Cricetulus griseus: one gene and its partner. The protein of the gene in region 1 binds, or shares a complex with, the protein of each later gene. Links are inferred from orthologs where the notes say so. Each region holds a gene or a part of one and is shown in the gene's direction. Other genes may lie near its edges.

The links. The genes of interacting proteins can lie anywhere in the genome.
Region 2: Dnttip1 (region 1) and Sap30 share a complex: the UniProt entries of both Homo sapiens proteins name them as parts of the histone deacetylase complex. The link is inferred for Cricetulus griseus from reciprocal best matches to the Homo sapiens genes DNTTIP1 and SAP30.

The regions. Positions count from the first base shown.
Region 1 is NC_048599.1:14,670,293-14,674,387, reverse strand, and holds part of Dnttip1 (deoxynucleotidyltransferase terminal-interacting protein 1), read left to right. Parts: intron 1-2,062; coding exon 2,063-2,131; intron 2,132-2,381; coding exon 2,382-2,435; intron 2,436-2,757; coding exon 2,758-2,816; intron 2,817-3,915; coding exon 3,916-3,964; intron 3,965-4,095. UniProt on the Homo sapiens protein: Increases DNTT terminal deoxynucleotidyltransferase activity (in vitro). Also acts as a transcriptional regulator, binding to the consensus sequence 5'-GNTGCATG-3' following an AT-tract.
Region 2 is NW_023276806.1:235,754,484-235,757,763, reverse strand, and holds the end of Sap30 (histone deacetylase complex subunit SAP30), read left to right. Parts: intron 1-324; coding exon 325-423; intron 424-2,309; coding exon 2,310-2,432; 3' UTR 2,433-2,642; downstream 2,643-3,280. UniProt on the Homo sapiens protein: Involved in the functional recruitment of the Sin3-histone deacetylase complex (HDAC) to a specific subset of N-CoR corepressor complexes. Capable of transcription repression by N-CoR.

The DNA.
Region 1 (4,095 bases):
CTCAGAGACTGATGTTTAAGCTACCAAATTGCTGAGAGGCCAGCTTCTTTACTCTGGGAAGGAGTGTCACAGTTGCTAACCACAGACATTTGCTAATAGTGTTTTCATAAGGTTGAGCTGAAGCAGGATTAAATTGAGAAGACCTCTTACATGGTTCTCGAATCCCGTGTGTGTGTGTGTGTGTGTGTGTGTGTGTGTGTGTGTACATGTGCATGTGTGTATTCCATGGCGAGTGTTGAGTGCATGTGCTCATGTTCCATGGTTCTTCCTTCCTCTGATGTGTCCTGAACATGGAACTCACTCAGATCATCAGGCTATGCAGCAAGTGCATTTGCCTCCTAAACCCTCTCACTGGTCCGCATCTCTTTATTTATCTCCCTACTTGTTATTTATTGAGGACCTACTTTGTGCTTCTTAGTATCAGACCCTAGCAATGTGCAGAGTGGACATAGTCCTTACCCTTGACAGTACTGGACAAATAGCTGTCTGGCGAGAGTTGGCTAGATGAGGAGTCCGGGGGAAGAAAAGGTGTAATGTGTCTAAGGAGCAGGGGTGGCAAGTGTTACTGGTTGCACAGAGGCAGCAGTCCATGGCATTGCTGCAGAAGCAGGCAGAACACTCAAGCCCAGAGGAGGATGTGGATGTGTACCCAAGAGTAGCCTGATGGGGTTTGCATTTTGAGAAGACTCTTCTGGACTTGAGTGTAACTCGGCAGCATGGTACTGGGCTGAGCTCCATCCCTAGCCTACAGAAGAAAAAAGGAAACTTGTTCTGGAAGATGGCTCAGTAATGAAAGGTGCTTGCCCAAGCCTGACAGCACATGGTGAAGAAGACAACTGACAAGGTGCTTTAAGTTGCCCTCTGACTTGCACACATACAACACACATACATACACACACACACACACACACACACACACACACACACACACACACAGAAAATTAATGTAACAAAAAAGAATGCCAACTTTTTCTTGCTTTAGACCGCCCCAATACAAATTGACTAGTTGTGTGACCTCAGCTAAAAATAAAGGCTCTGTCTCAAAGGGTTTTGAGGATTAAATGTGTTGATGATATTAACAAATGTTCAGTAAGAGTTCCCTACTGCATCCTACTGGTAGGGTAGATACTGTACTTGATCTTAGCCCAAAGACTGAGAAGCAGTTACATGCTGCACTGAGATGTAAAAGTAGAGGGTGGTTAAGAATGCTGGCTGCTCTTCCAGAGGATACAGGTTCAACTCCCAACACCTACATGGTAGCTCACAGCTGTCTATAACCATAGTCCTATGGGATCTGATTCCTTCTTCTGGCCCCTTTGGGCATCAGGCATGCATATAGACAGACAGACAGACAGACAGACAGACAGACAGACAGACAGACAGACAGACACACAGACAGACACACACACACACACACACACACCCCATAGAAATCTTTTTTTTTTTTTTTTTTTTTTGGATTTGAAAATATGGGGGTTGGGGAAATGGCACAGTGATTTATAGAGAACCTGAGTTCAGTTCCCAGCACCTATGTCAGGCAGCTCACAACCCTCTGTAACTCTGACTCGCATCACACACACAGCGCCAAGCCTTCTCTCCTTGGGGTTTTTCATCCCTTCCTGCTGCCAGAACACACACTCATACACACCTTTGTTTTTCTTAGACAGTGCCTCCCTGTTATCCAGGCTGGCCATAAACATGCAGCAATCCTTGTACCTCAGCCTCCTAAGTGCTGAGGTTAACGTGAGCTGGCTGTTGTGCTTCAGATCAGGTTCAGAGTTGCACACTCCAGCCTCTGTTTACTAGCTCTTCAACCACAATCATGACAAAAAGAGGGTAGTGGGTGTCTCACCAAGTCCTTCCCCTTTCCTCCATGGTCAAAAAGCAGAAACAGAGTGTGTTCCATAGCCACGTTTTATAAATGGACATGTGCTAATTAATGCTTCTCTGGCTTATTCATCTTTGAACATAAATGTGAGTGTCCATGCCTTTGTGTTGATAATGGGAAAGTTGCACTTCTCTACCAAGCTAATGACTGGCAACAATGGCCTCTCCCTTTCAGGCAAAGCTACTCTTTTCAGATGGAGAAAAAGTAATACCCAGATTGACCCATGAACTTCCAGGAATCAAGGTCAGAATCATTGTGCCCTAAGGCCTTCGGGTGGGGGGGAGACAGTCAGGTGGGATGCAGGTAAAATATGTGGACCCAGGAAATTTCACACACCATCACGGGTAGGGCCAGGTCCCAAAGGACTTTTGAGATCTGTGTCAGGTGGTGGCTAGAGGGTGGAGCCCAGAGGCCCTGCTTACTGTAGTCCCATAAAACTGCAGCTCCCAGGTACTAGCCTTGCACTGACTCCCTTCCCATTCGTTTCCTTCAGCGTGGCCGGCAAGCAGAAGAGGAGTCCCACCGAGGAAGCCCCATTCCTAAAAAGGTAAATAAGCATGTCCCCTGTTGGGGGCTTACAGCTGGGAAAGGGCCCTTCTGTTCCAAAAGAAGGTTGGGCTTGCATTACCTTTGGGCTTTTCCAGGCGTGGGGTGGCAAGGAGAGAAATGGTTACTTTCCGGGGCACTCCCAAGGTCATTTGTTCTCTCTGGATAATTCCACTACCTGATCTAGCCCCAGCACACTAGAGCAGGGGTGCTCCCCATGGTCAGGGCTCTGCTCAATGGACAACCATCTCCACTGACTTCCTGGCCCAGCACACAAGAATGCTACCCACAGGTCAGGGTTCTGACAGCTCTTCTTTGTGCAGAGGAAAGGTCGGCCTCCTGGACACGTCCTGTCAAATGACCGGGCAGCTGCTGGCATGGTGTGAGTAGGGGCCACCAGTGCTGTAAGAGCTGAAGGGAACCGAGGGAGGGAGTGGCCATGAGTGGGAAGAGGCCAGAAGTGAAAGCGGTAGACGCAGGTCCACTGCCCTAAGCTGCTGTGGGAGAGGCTAACCCAGTATAGGTCAGGAAGGGACTGTGAGGGGAGTTGTTTTATGCTGTCTTTTACAAACCCCACCACGGTTGTAGCTTGATTACACACCAGACCTGATTCATACTTGAATGTTTAGAGTTGGTCTAAGTACCAGCTTCCAGCAAGTCTCTAAAGAACAGGGCAATTAGCAGATTTAAAACAAACAAACAAACAAAAAAAAGAGTCAGAATTATATGCCCTAGTAGGGAGGGCATGGTAGTGGACTCCTGAGGTCCCTGTACTTAGGGGGTGAAGGCAGGATGATCCTCAGCCACATGGTGACTTAAAGGCCAGCCTGAGCTACAGGAGATACTCACAAAAAGTCATATAATTATTAAAATGCAAAACAGAGTGATCATTATCAAAGAGCACTTTTAAATTCTATTTATAGAACATTTTAGCTACATCACAAACTCAGTAGAAGATACAGAGCTATCTGAAACCCTCCCAGCCCCCTACATATGTACAGACTCCCTGTTAGTAACACCCAGAGTGTCACATTTGTTACAACTGATGAATTTGCCATGACTTAACACCATCATCCAGCCCATGGATGCATAGGTTCATGCCTGGTGTTGTGAGTCTGAGTTTATAGCACCCTTCCTGAAGCCTTTTTGCCCTGTCTTGGAGACAGGGTCTTACTCTGTAGCCCTTTTCTGACCTGGAACTCACTAAGCAGACCAGGCATTTTCATTCCTCATAAACACGAGGTGGGCAGGGCAGCTGCTGCCCTTATCTCCTTTTGACAGATGAGAAAGCTGCAACTTGGAGATTCCTGGACTTGCCCATCACTGAGTTCTAATGTGGTTTCTGGTCCAGGCTTTTTTTCCCTCTATATTTCTAATGAGTTGCCAGAAAACTGTGCCATCATCACCCCTAGTAAACTTCATTCCAGGTTCTGTCCCTCCCTCCATCCTTGGAGAATTCACCTGTCTTCTTTCCTTCCAAGCAGATGGAAACCAAAATCTTGTGAACCAATTCGCCGAGAAGGCCCCAAGGTATGCTTGCATGAATGTGTCAGTGGCCAGGGCTCTGTGCCCTGTGAGGTAAAGAGGTCAGAGGTGATACATGATGTGCTCACACCATTCCAAAACCATCTTCCCCTCCAGACAGTATTCCAGGGGGGGAC
Region 2 (3,280 bases), on another chromosome or scaffold:
GGCCAGCCTGGTCTACAAAGCTACACAGAGAAACCCTGTCTCGAAAAACCAAAAATAAATAAGTAAATAGAATAAAACATGCATTTATACTACTATTAAATCTCAGGTGACAGTTCTTGTAGCCCTTGACCTATAACTTCCTTTTTTTTTTTCCTCTAAAAGCTTACACTATGTATCCCCAAAAGGTGAAACTAATAAACTCTAGATCTGACTGTGGAAAAGAAATTGTTCTTGTGCTGAAGTGGACATTGCCCTTTGCTTTACAGATCAGTGATATCTTTTCAGCAGAGTGAACTATGTTACATCTTAATTTTTTTTTTCTAGGTTGATTTGTACCAATTACAAGTAAATACACTTAGAAGATACAAAAGACACTTCAAGCTTCCAACCAGACCAGGCCTTAATAAAGCACAACTTGTTGAGGTATGTATAATTTTTATACGGTATAAACAAACCTGTTCACACCAACAAGGGTTGTGATTAAATGATGATGAAATAGGTAAATGTCTAATGTCTAAGAAAGTCAGAGTTAATGGGTCTATCATGGTGTGCATATAGTGGTTTAGAAACAACTGTCTGTCACCTAGAAAATCCACTTACAGCATTTTTTAATAGGGATTTCTCAGAGTAAGTATTTAGTGAGTTTTTAATCACTTCAGAAATCTGTTTTAGGTTTCTAATTATTCAATGTCTGTTTATTGAACACCTAATTGAGGCATAACAAATAAATAAGCTTACAAGCATTTATCAGAATTTAGTTTTCAAAGCTTCTCTGGGATAGGCCTACAGATGAACCCTGAAGCAGTACTTCCTAACTTTCTAGTTTTACTTTCAGGTTGTCTTTGTTAGTAGTTGTTGTTTTTAAGTAGAAGATGCTTTCTTTACATCGAGAGAGAGCAAAGATTTTATCCAAGCTTTTACTTAAAGTTTATTTTGTATAGGACTTTGGTTCCTTCAGAGTGCTTTGGAAATTAGCTGTGTGTGTGTGTGTGTGTGTGTGTGTGTGTGTGTGTGTGTGTTTTCAAGAAGTAATAGAGCCACAAAATCTGTGCACTTTAAAGTATTTACAGATTTAAATAATTAGACTTTATATGTAAAATAAACTTTTCCACTAAATAGACAGGACAGAAATCTCTCTCTCTCTCTCTGTGTGTGTGTGTGTGTGTGTGTGTGTGTGTGTGTGTGTGTTTACATGAGTTTTCTCATATTCTTGGGTTTGACTTGAGTAGTTAGCCTACATTTCTAATGTGCATATTAAATAAAAGATAAATACAAGTTGCAATTCTTTGTAGAAAGTTCTTTTACATTATTAAAATTCAATATGCTAACTAGCCAAATTTTCTCCTCTATTTTTTGCCTAGACAAAAATATAATTTTTCTTCAAATTTTATTTAAAGATCTAGTCCTTTTACCATGGCACAGTACATAAACATAAAGATGTTCCCTACTATGATGAAATATACTAGACATTAATGAAGTATGGTCGCCCCTGTTTTGTAACAGAGAGGAGCCAAGAACTGATGCAAACGTTGTATGATATAACATCATATAGTTTATAACTCAAATCTCAACTTTAAAGTCTGGTCTTCTAAAAACAGTTGAATTAGTACAGAGTTATTTTCTGTTCTAGAAAAACAGGCCATCTTCTGGAATCGGAGTGCACACATTAGCAGCTCAGTTTCTTATTCGTGTTGGTAGCTCAGTGTGCATGTTTGGTTTGTGCTGTGAAAAGACAGGGAAGCAGTCTTCTTGAGCGTCTTTCTAGCTCCTTTAATTTTCTTAAATCTTACTCAGAAAATTTTGCTGAAACTTAGGGAGAATGAATATCAATTGCACCAAAATTGTATATGATATCATAGTTTGTTACCAAGGGTTTTTGTTGTTTTGTTTACATTAATCTTTTCCTGTGAATGCAGTCGACATGCACGTTGGCTCTTTTGTTTTATGTCATTGATATTTAATGTTTAAGAATATGTACTTTATAAGTTGTTAAGTTTAAAGGGAAAAATACTTATAACCAGTGGACCAAAGCAAGTAAAATACTTAGAATTAGAGCATATGAATTGAGTAGACTAAAGGGTCCTTTGAAATCAGACTGTCCTTTGTTGATAATATTTTGTTTTTTTTAAATGTGCTTTGGGGCCTGTTCATATTTTGTTAAAACAGCTTAATTTTTAAAAGACAATCTCTTGTGGCCATATAACACATGGCCTAAACTGTGCCTTTTTTTTTTTTTTTTTAAACTGTGCCTTTTACCTGGCTCACAGAATCTGCTGCATCTAACATTTAATTTGTTTTTTTCTTTGTAGATAGTTGGTTGCCACTTTAGGTCTATTCCAGTGAATGAAAAAGACACCCTAACATATTTTATCTACTCAGTGAAGAATGACAAGAACAAATCAGATCTCAAGGTCGACAGTGGTGTTCACTAGGAGAGATGGCATTCACACTAGCACATAGATGTCTGGCTGTAAAGAATGTTTACTGTTTTTCATATGTAGAAATGTTCTTGGGTATTTTTTCTACAGAGGATTTTCTTTGGCTTTTTTTGTTTGGTTTTGATTCTAATAATTAGTTGGAAACTCATATGAAATGAGCTTCCTAAATTAAAACTATTTTAAATAAAGGTTATTACTATTATAGCTGCTTCAGTGTATTTATTTTGTGAAACTTAGTTTTTGTTTTAAGCTTTCAGGAATTGGTATTAAGGTTTCAGGTAAAGATCCTTATTTTGTAAATTTTTCTTGAAAATTCCAAGTAATTAAAGGTAAAGGAGAAACAACAGATAAATGTAATTTCCCTAGATCAATTTGATTTGTAAGTAAGTGTGTGGTGGTGGTGGTGGGGTGGGGGGGGGCGTCTGTTGGTTTTGAGACAGGTATCTCTGGCTGTCCTGGAACTCAGAGATCCACCTGCCTCTGCCTCCCAAGTGTTCAGACTAAAGGCAAGCTCTACTTCAGGCTAACAGTGTTTTTTTTTAAAATACTTCACAGTGTATGTTAGCAGGTTTAAAAATTAGACTTCCACTGATTCTTAACTACTTTTAAATTTCCCTTTTGCATTGTTATTATTATTCTTTGAAGGCATATGAAGAAAAACAGGTAGTTTCTGTGCCTCTCTCTTTCCAAAGACACCCTACATTCCAGCAAAGGTAAGCACAGCGCTTGCTCAGAGTTGAAATAAGAATTCATGGAAAATAACTCACATTCTTTAATGTTTGCTTTGCAAATTCAAACCATGTTAATTAAACTGCTGTGTGGTGAATGTTTATAATCAGCCC